Oryzias latipes: one gene and its partner. Each later gene encodes a partner of the first gene's protein in a complex. Links are inferred from orthologs where the notes say so. Each region holds a gene or a part of one and is shown on either strand. Other genes may lie near its edges.

Region 1 (4,866 bases):
AATTTTTTTTCCCCAATTCTTCAAATTTGAAGATTTTTTGACTTCTTTCAAAGGGGGGCTGTTTTTGCAGTCTGGCAGTGGTTATTCTAGGAAACACATGGCATCTCTGCTTTTAAAAGAGCTTAGAAAGAGAACAGCATTCTTAGATTTATTTGGAAAATACCTCTTCCCTTAATTTCATCTCCTTTTATTCAGAGCAAAAAAGGAGCAAAAACTCTCACTTTTTGAGTAAGAACCGTATATTCAAGAGTGCTTTATTTTAGTCGGAAGACTCCAAAGTAAAAAATACAAAGAGAGGGAACAAACATGACGCATAAACAGAAACAAACAAAAACACAACCACTCACTCAGTGTTTCCACTGTGGTTGTATTGGTCCCTAACGGCGTCTTTCCCCCTTGAGACGCTATAACATGTCTATGCTCTTTCTGCAGCCTCCTCTGCACAAACAAACATCTTCACTCTCTCCTTCACTGCTACTCTCCCTCACTCCCTGCTTTCCTCCTTTCATCCCTGAGGACAGAGTCATAATCTGAACCGTCTGTTCTCCACCTGCCGGTTGCATCCCTCGGTTCCCTGGCCTCCCCCTCCTGTGACAACCTGCTGTCTTCTTCCAAATCCGGTCCCTCCTCCCTCTCACTTCCTCCTCCCTCTCTCCCCTCGTCCTAGTCGAGGGCCCCTCGGGCCCCAGCAGTTCTCCTAAGCGGATCCGTCCCACCTCGTCTCAAAGGAACCTTAAGCAACTCCACCACAAACGCACACTACTTCATGGAGACAGTGTTGCCGAGCAGCCTCTGTGTTTGTTCACCGGGCAGACATGTGCATACAGAAGAGCACGCACTGTTAGAATGGGACAGAGGCAAAAAGGAATTCTCAGTGACTGACTGTACTTACATGGACGAGCAGAGAGAATTCGGTCACCAAGCTGCTCAGCTCCTTCAAGTCCTGAGGGGAGGGGCAAAAGGGCAATTAATTCATAATTAATAATAATATCTTCTTACAAGACAGAAAGAGAGGGCTTTGACCCATGACTGTTCTGTTTATCCATGTTAAAACACATACAGGTCACAGAGAAGATTAAGTAGCAAAGGAAGAAAAGAATTGAACTTGTTTCAGTTTGAAATGGTCAGTCTCTAAACAGTTCATGAAATTCAAACTGTGCCTAAATTCATTAAAGATGTTTTTATTGATGCCATGCTTGGATTTAAAAAAAAAACAAGAAGGAGAAGTTATGTAAAATGAGCAAATAAAACCCAGGAACTCACGTTATCCTGCATCTGAAAACTCTAGTCTAAAATCCTGATCTAGTCTAACAGTCTAAAATTCTTACCCTAGTGGTAGATTTTCTTTAAATAAGCAAAACAAACCTGCCAATGTGTCAGGAATTCTTATTTTAAGAAGACATTTCTAGTCACAAAGGCATGCTTTTCTCAAACTAAAATTATTTTTATTGCAAGACAGAAAATAAAACAAATTTTTTTGAAACAAGGATCTTTTAGCTTTCTAAGATGAGGTTTTCCAGAGTAACTTTTCTAACACAGAATCTAATACTTTATAATGTTTTTGTTTGTTTTAAGAGAAAAAAATCCTGTTGCTCTGGGTGATCTCACATAATAAAACCTCTCAGTTAAAGCTAATCTTTCCTACTTCACACGGCGATTCCTTTTTATTCCCCCCTAAGGAGAAGCAGGGAGTTGAAATAGAAGGGCTTTTACATGAGCAATGTTACATCCTGACATCTAACCTTCTTTAAAGTGAGTTGGGTTTTAAGTAATGAGTGCCACTACCCAACTAGCAAGACTGCACATGAAGCAAAAAGTTCAGAATCCAGCCATGCATACCCCTTCAAGGTTATCCCAGGATTCCGCTGCATTCTGATCTGCAGGGATTTCTGGAAGGTGGAGCTGACTTTGCCTTCCCGACTCTGCTTTGTCGCCCTCGTCATTAACGCTGTGGCAGTTGCTGGATGCACATCCAGGCTGCCGCGTAGTGAGCGTTGGTGAAGAGTCAGAGTGCAAAAGCAGAAAGTCTCTCGCGGCAGCTGAAGCTCTGTCCCTGACCGGCCTGACGAGCACGTCCAGAGCCGCGGCATCCTCCGCACGGACCCGGCCACACAGCTGCTCCATCTCTCTGATGTTAGCTCTCAGTTGCTGAGCGGAGAAGCAGAGGTTCTGTGTGAACGTTTCAGTGGGGTCGAGAAAATAAGCAATAAGGCATTTCAAAAGAATCATTGTGCTTGATTAAAGGAGAGACAAAGAGAAAACCAACATTTGTTTAGGGGTAGCCACCAGAAAAAATAGGTACAACTAAGAGATCAGGCCAATAGTCCAGCGAGAACTAACCTCACGCAACATAAAATCAAAACAAAAATGAATCTAGCTTTTAGAAAAATGGCTGCACAATTCACAAACAACTTACCTTACAGCAATGGCTTGCAGTAACAAGCTGAATATTATTTAAGTGTGAGTAATGTGGAATTTGTGCACACGTGTGGGTTGATGAGAGCTTAATCGGGTTTAGATATGAGGCTGGGGAACACAAGAAATGCCCTGAGGGTGACAGGAGGATTACATCCCAGCCACCGGCCCTACAGGCCGCATGACCAGGACTCAAGGGGGCGGCCCGCTGCCAATAACGTATTCTACTAATTACAAAACATAAATAAACATATAAACATATCCTTACATGCAAAAGCTATTAAAAAAATAACAACATATGGGAAGACAAAATGGAGTAAGGCCACAATCAAGAAATCATTAGGAATAAACAAAAATTAAATAAAAATAAGTGTTTTACTATTTAGGCTCCAGCAACTCCATGACCCCCAAAAGTGATGTAGCGGGTAAAGATGGATGGATGGATTTCACTATATTTTATAAACGATTTTTTTAAATATATACATATCTAAAGCATATATCCCCTTTTTTCCTGCTTTTATTTGTAAAACACTTTGCGTTTTTTTACCTGTGACGTGTTTTTGCTTTTTTCTACGCATAAAAGGTAAAGCTGGGGATTGTTTAAAACTTTTTCTTTTTTTATTTATTGCCGCTTTAGAAGAAACTACAGGATTTTCATTGTATCAGTTCATTATAGCAGTGTTCACTCCCTGTCTTCAAGAGCCAGATGAAGATGGATGGAACCTGGATTGAACCCCTCTGGTCTAACACATAGGTTCTAGTACACCTTTTTCAGGTTTACGTTATATATTTGTCACCTGTAAAGTTGATGACTACATTTGGATCCAACACGCCTGAAGCATCTGCAGAATTGTACAAATAAAGAAACAGAAACCTATCCCCAGGCTCAGAATGCAAGCTGTTGCTGAAGTGTTGAAGGTGAGACAACCTGGTCTTTTTGAAATTCTTCTCCTGGGCTTTACGTGCCGTTACACAAGAGGGGGAAAAATATCAATTATTGCGTTGGGTGAGAAATTGGAATCCATCTAGAGGGACAGTGAAATAAATACAACCTATGCATTAAAATATCAAAAAAATGTAATCAGGGAACAGAGAAAAAAAGTTATTTATGATTCCATCCGTCAGTTTGTGAATAAAAAAACATAAACTCTCTCACACACACGCACACACACACGTTCGGCCACAACTAAAGTAGAGGCAACAAACCCCTACTCTGGATTAACACCATGAAGACATGAGAAAGCACTCTCTGTGCGCCCCTGAGGTTTGTGGGGTGATGGTGAGAGGATAGGTGTGTGCCTGTTTAGAGTTATTTCACGTTCAGAAACACGGTGGCTCCCAGGCAACAACATCCCCTGAGGTGTTTCACACCAACCATGTGTACAAGCATGCAAGTACTTAAACACAAACACACATCTTTGAGGCTTAAAAAGGCTTTTTCCTGCCCAGATTTAAAAAATATATACATTTTTTGGTTTGAAAAATATTTGTAAAATCCTTTTATTATAATTTTGTTGTAAGTACTTTTCAGTGTTGTATCACTTCCTTTGCATCAGGTCTGCATAAGCTTTAAAAGTACAAAGAAAAATGACAGCTGCTTAGATTTGCTGCATGATCTTGAACTTGAACTGAGAATTCTGGGATGTTCTGACTTCCCAAGCACATTGACAGGCAATGTGTGTGTGTGTGCATGTGTGTGCGTGTGTCTGTCATCATGTTCATCATTATGTGTAGTGATTTATGAACTTAAAAATAATACCATTCAATGATCCAGTGCAATCATGTTAATGTGGTCCAATTCAATTCAAATTGATGTTTGAATATGGGCATTTGTGAGCACAGATATCCATATCAAACTAAAGGTTTTCTACAGTGAGATCGATTTTATGGAACATTAAATACATTTATGAGCTTGGAAATTGCGAAGCATAACTGAGTTAAATTCTACACAAAAAGGTTGCATCCCAACAGATTTATATGGTTGGAAACTCCTCCTCAATTTAAAATAAAAAAGTGCCTGAACTAAACGGAAATGTGAAAAAATGGTAGGGTAACTCTAAAAATGAGTGAAATGTGAGATTAAATTAAAACCTTTTAGCATTTAATTCTTAAAATATTTTGTTGAACTCTGTTCATGACAGCTGGACTAACTCCTATTAATGAACAGCACAAGGTACATCCTAAAGCTTTTGAGACCGCTGGACTACTTGATTCATTTATTTTTTGACAAATGCATTTTACTGCAGACAAACATCATTAATTTTGATTCTTCTTGTGTGACATATTTTATAGGACATTTGAGTGTCGGTCTTGACTTTAAATTACTTCCAAGACATATGATTGACTCTTCATTTGTTCTCTTGGATACTTTTTGCACCTTAATGGATAAAGGTACCAGTTTGCTGGCCTGACACCAGCCTTTGATCTTTCAGTGAGAAAAACATAAGAAAA
Region 2 (5,542 bases), on another chromosome or scaffold:
GTCCTTTGGAGGCTCCGCCAGATCTCCTCGCTCCTGCCGTACCAGGAGAAGACCACAGTTAGCTGCACTTCGCCAATAATCAGGTTGCTATGGTTACCAATAAATATAGGATATGATCTATTTCTGTCTTGCAAGAAAATTAATCTTTTTGGAAAGTTTTTTTCAAAGCAACATAATCTTAATTTAAGAAAATATGTCTTAGTGACCAGAATTTCTTTACTAAAATACTTTTTAATAAAAGTTCTTGGTAAGATAATTTTTCTTACCCCGTTGACAGATATTTTGTTCATCTAAAGATTTTTCTTTATGTTAAGAATTTTTGACCTATTTCTAGGGCGCCTGTTTTTTGCAGCGTGAGGATTGCACATGTATGCAAAAATCACAAGGAACACAATGAAACAAATACAGACATGTAGCAGAAAAATTGTAACTGAACCTTAATTTAGTCAGAATTTCGGGGAAAACTGTTTAAGAATTGAGTGTCGATGGTCGTGTCTGATTACACGTCACAAAACAGCGTCCAAACATTTGTTGATTTAAAAATAAATCCAAAGAAATTATGTTCAATCTTAACATTAACTCAAATGATATTAGGGTCTATTATGGTCACTTTTGGGTTGATTTTTGAACCCTATGATAATTATAATGAAATCCTGGGTATATTTTATGATGTGATAATGACACGCTGATTGCTAAATCTTCAGACAGAGAATGATACTGATAATATTGATATATTCTGTGGATTTTGTATTTTTGTTGTCATAGTTGAATCAGTAGCAGCCTTAAATAAGCTTCAGGTTCTGCCCATCTCCTTTTCCAACATGTTTGATGTTCTGTCAAATAGAGAACATTTTGACCGAATACAGTTATAGTCAGAAGCTTTTACAATAGGTTTGAAATAAAACTAAACTACACATGACATTGCAACACCAAAGACTAAAGAAAAGAATTGTGAACATGGAAATGCAGGACGTTTCCAGACATGAAGCAGAGGCTCTGTCTGCATGAGCGGCATGGAGGCAGTCAGGCTGTGGAGCGGCTGCAGCACCTTCACAGAGCAACTCCAACCTTAATAGTAATGAGCATTTTTTCTGGTTTATTTTAAAGTCAAAATAAATACAGTTAAAAAGAATACTTCAACTATAACACAATAGTCACACTTAGCTTCATCTTCTCAACAAAAATAAGAAAGATTTTGATATCTTGTAACAATCCAGCAATCTATGCACCTCGTGCAAAAGGCCATTTTGTTTTTTTTATCTATCAACAATACATCAATGCTTACATATTGGTGGTGTTGGACAGCACGCTCAAAGCAAAGACAGAAAAGTCGATGTTTTACGCTGATTGGCTGCCCTTTATTTATTATTAGAAAGTCAAAAAAAGTCAAAATGTAAAGCATGTAAATGGTCAGCAGGCAAGAAAGTCTCACTAAACTAAAGTGTCGCATAAAAACCAGAAATGCTACTTTCTTTTTCAGTTGTACGTATATCCTTTTTATCATCTAGTTTAGTGAAAGCTCAGTTAGGAATGATGAATTGGCTAAAAGACGTATTTGAAATGCTTTGCTTTCGGCCACCTGTTTGTTTTCGTGCTTCTGTCTTAAGAAGTATCCATGCAGTACACATTTGTTTTCATTTTTTGCTTCTTGCCGATGTTTTTGTAGAGGTGCTACAAGAACAAAATCAAAAACTAAGCCCAGTAAAAAACAATAATTCAATATAAAACAACTATAGTGCAAAGGATGGCTGTTATTTAGCTATTTGCACCACCAAAAACAGAATATAGCTGGATATACATTTCCAAACTATCAAGAAACTGCAAAAATCACAGTAAGAATTGTTTAAATCAGCTGCATTTTTACTCAAATGTTCCAAGTTTTCTTGCTTTAGACAAATGCTTTTGTTAACATGTCTAGAACAAGTTGGGACAGTGAATACAGAATATTACTTCGCACAATTCTAGGTGTGATTTTGCCAGCAGAAAGAATAAAAAGTGTGCCCTCTGTCAACACAGAGCAGGGACTTCCACGTCCCACGAGCCAGTCGGCCTGAAAACAAAGCCGTCTCTAGGATACAGCAGGTTTACCTGCATCATTCGCTCTCTGCTTCCTGATTCAAATCCCTCCTTTCCCTCTAATCCTTCCTGTTAGCTCCGACTCACATTCTCACTTTCTACATTTGCTTTTGAACACATCTTCGGTCTTTTAAAGAGAGTTTCCATCTTACTCCTTTGATTTTAGTCATGTGTGAGGTAATCATGTTTAGTTTTACCTGCCTCTCAGGTGAACCCATTTCCCTTTTTTCTTCTCAATTCCCCACTACCAAGACCTCAGCGAGCCTCACTGAATGGCTGAGAGCTATCAAATAACATTATTTAGAGAAAGCAAACAGCTGAGGACACACGTCCACGCCGTGTCGGGAATTTAAAGTAGCTTTGTTCTCCAAGGGAAAACCTGACAACTGACACAAAGATAAGATCATGTTATGCGGTTACTGCATACACGAAGAGTGTCGTTATACGCAAATGTGTAGTAATAAACTAAAACAAAACATGCAAATGGGCTTTTCGTGATTTTATATCATGGCAGAATATAATCCTAAATATTTAAACTTTATTTAAATGGGAAAGGATAACAAACCGAGAGTGTAATTTAAGATTTATACCCCCATGCTGACATATATGAGGATTTTTCTGGCATGACAAATGTGATAAAGACAATGACGAACGCGCATGCGCACACTGGGCTCTGTTAAATCATATTAGTGAACGTGGCTGAAACTAAATGTTTCTTCGTGAATATTGAAATATTGAGACACTTAAACTTGATTGAAGAAAAAAAATTACAACAACGAATTAATACATATACACACAAGAACAGGGAAAGCTCGGAGCCTCGTTTCACGTTCAAACCACTCGGGATAATCTAATGCTTCAGCGAGTATTGGCGTTAACTTAATTAAAACAGACTGACGTTAGCTAACTTAACTGACGTTCACGAAGCTAACAAAACAAACTTTTACAAGTCATAGAAACCTCGCAGCTCTGAAAAGTTCCCAAAGTAACTTGAGAAACCTTAGCTGCTCGTCTTTAGTGAAAACTTTACTTAATCTCTCAAAACAGTAAAAGGTAATAGCTTTTTCCGGGCAACAAAAAAAAAACGTTATCAAAAATAAATACAAAACCAAAAGTAAGAGTTTATTGTTATCAACCCAGGTTAAATAATCCATTTTTTGAAGCTAGCTTCACCTGTTGTTGCATGACTCCAAACAACAACTTACTTTCTTACTTGGGTCTCAAAACAGGTCTCTCAGTACCTACCGGATCATGGTCCATGTCGCTGGAAATGATGTCCCCTGATCGATAATCAATGAAAACACGTTTCCCGAAGCGGACCTATAAGCTAAAACCTTTTAAAAATACTTTGTTAAAACTTTAGTTTGTTGCTCTATCGTGACGGGGACGCGCTCGACACTTCAACTTCCTGGTCCTATTTTTTGTTCCGGTCATAGAATTCCTCCGCTTCAAGACGTCGGTGCGCCGCAACACAACCGCTGCTTCCGCTCTGCGACTTTGAATTTGCGACGTAGAACCTACAATTAAGAAAGAAAAAGTGCAACAGTGACATTTCTATTGCTATTTTTTTTAGAATGACGATTCCAAATATTTTGCTAGTTTATTAGAGTAAAAAAAGGACCGATAAAAATCTGATAAAAATCAAAAAATAGAGGTATCTCACTATTTCCCCTCCACCTCATTTCAATAATTATTAAAATATCAAGACCAATAGCAATAATAATAATAAAAACACATCCACATGTGTTAAGTATTTACTGCAGATCGTATCTGGCTTGTGCCATTTGACTTTTCAGCTTCTGATAATATTTCATTATAAAGACAGGACATGCTTTTATTTTGAAGGCATGACTCTATTGTTCCCTTAATGTTGGGTTTTGTGTGGCTCCAGCCTTCCTACTCAATTCCCATCTGAGGGTGTTTCCATCACATGTTGGATCTGAGATAGGAGTCATGAATGTTAACTCTTAACTCACCCCTTTCAGATCTTTTTTTTTTTTTTTGCTCTGGTATTTATTTTTGTTATTCAAGTGTTTTATGTCGCACATTAGCACCGCAGCAAATTCCAATTCTGTGAAAATGCCCTGCTCACTGGCAATAAATACTCCTTGAATCCTTTGAAGTAATCTTTTGTGTTTTTAAACAGAAAGTCTGAAGAGAGGTATGATGGGAAAACCACTTTTAAACAGTATATTTAACAAAACAAACAAAACTAATTACTTATGTGTTATATATTAATTGCATTACTATAAACATTTTGAGACACATTACACAATTTAGTGATAATCGGACAAAAGCACATTTCTACCATTATATTAGGATTAAATTAGGAAACCTAAAGTAAAAACACTGTTTATATCAAAGTTCCTGTGTGCAAGATTAAAAACTTCTACGCCAAGGACTGGAATGTGATTAGTCCTCTGCTCTTTCTTGTTCTGTATCTCCTTAATGAAAGGACGTCATGTCGTCTCACCCAGATGGAAGCACAGACCCAGACAAACCGGCTTAACCTCTACGGGAAGGCGACAGCAAAGTTGCAAACTCACACTATAAACAGGTTTAATGTGCCAGGATTTCACACGTTCTGCCCAAATTTAAGTCACAAACTCAACCACATTTATGGGAAAAAAAAACATTTTATTTCTTTTGACAATATATATCTTTTGAGCAGTGGTTGAAAAGTTCTTTTATCTACACAACAGATAATCATGAAATAGTACAGAGTTAAAAAAAAGGTCGTCTTGTCATTATGAGGGAAAAAAGGGCAGATTTAAAACTTAAGCACAAAGTGAATAAAACCTGACATTTTAAATAGAAAAAGCATAAATTCAAAGAAAGAAGAGGACAGAATTTAAAAAAATCTCCTGGTTTTCTCCTTAGCGGCCTTGTCTGATGATAATGTCTGACATGTCATCAACTTTGACCAGCTCCAAATTCTGTAAAACAGACAATTCAAAACTGTTAAAAGGTGTTAAAGCTTCAGACGTTTGTCTACAGAAAATAACTTGGGTTATGTTGTTATAACCTTTTATAAAAGTAGAATTCCTAAAGCTGAAAGTTGCTCTTGATAATAAATTAATGTCAAATATAATGTTAAATTAAAGTCATTTTAAAGACAAACAGGATTCATTTAAAAGGCTCTTAAGTTGAAACATTTTAAAGTCGAGTAGGAGTAATGACACGTCTGTCACTATCTTTATAAGCAAAGTGATCCCACAAACTGATAACACTGAGTGAGTGACCGAAGAGTGCACATGTTTATCTTGAGCTGTTTCAAATGTTCTTTTATTTTCATGGTTTTATGTTTGTGTGTGTATCAATGCCTCTGGGTCACGTCTCTCTCTAAAAATGTTTTATCTCAAGGGACTTCCTGGTAAAATAAAGGTTAAATAAAAAGAAACCAAACTGATAAGATATTTTCAGAACCTCAAATACAGTACAACTCATTTACTTCCATTTGATTTTA

The links.
Region 2: the proteins of stx17 (region 1) and vesicle-associated membrane protein 8-like are in contact, whole or in part, in a crystal structure (PDB 7BV6), measured with the Homo sapiens proteins. The link is inferred for Oryzias latipes from reciprocal best matches to the Homo sapiens genes STX17 and VAMP8. Residues at the interface, in NP_060389.2 of Homo sapiens: Ser171, Trp172, Thr174, Leu175, Asp178, Leu179, Glu181, Leu182, Leu185, Val186, Phe189, Leu192, Val193, Gln196, Glu198, Lys199, Ile200, Ser202, Ile203, His206, Val207, Ser209, Ala210, Asn213, Val214, Glu216, Gly217, Thr218, Asn220, Leu221; in NP_003752.2 of Homo sapiens: Gly9, Val13, Leu16, Gln17, Val20, Glu21, Val23, Lys24, Met27, Thr28, Asn30, Val31, Ile34, Leu35, Arg37, Gly38, Leu41, Glu42, Leu44, Arg45, Thr48, Glu49, Leu51, Glu52, Ser55, Glu56, Phe58, Lys59, Ser62, Gln63.

What each region holds. Positions count from the first base shown.
Region 1 is NC_019874.2:17,626,992-17,631,857, reverse strand, and holds part of stx17 (syntaxin-17), read right to left. Parts: intron 2,149-4,866; coding exon 1,840-2,148; intron 944-1,839; coding exon 893-943; intron 1-892. UniProt on the Homo sapiens protein: SNAREs, soluble N-ethylmaleimide-sensitive factor-attachment protein receptors, are essential proteins for fusion of cellular membranes.
Region 2 is NC_019867.2:25,806,812-25,812,353, forward strand, and holds the start of vesicle-associated membrane protein 8-like, read right to left. Parts: upstream 3,515-5,542; 5' UTR 3,337-3,514; coding exon 3,322-3,336; intron 34-3,321; coding exon 1-33. Other genes in the region: ncaph (condensin complex subunit 2), read right to left, coding at 4,953-5,012. UniProt on the Homo sapiens protein: SNAREs, soluble N-ethylmaleimide-sensitive factor-attachment protein receptors, are essential proteins for fusion of cellular membranes.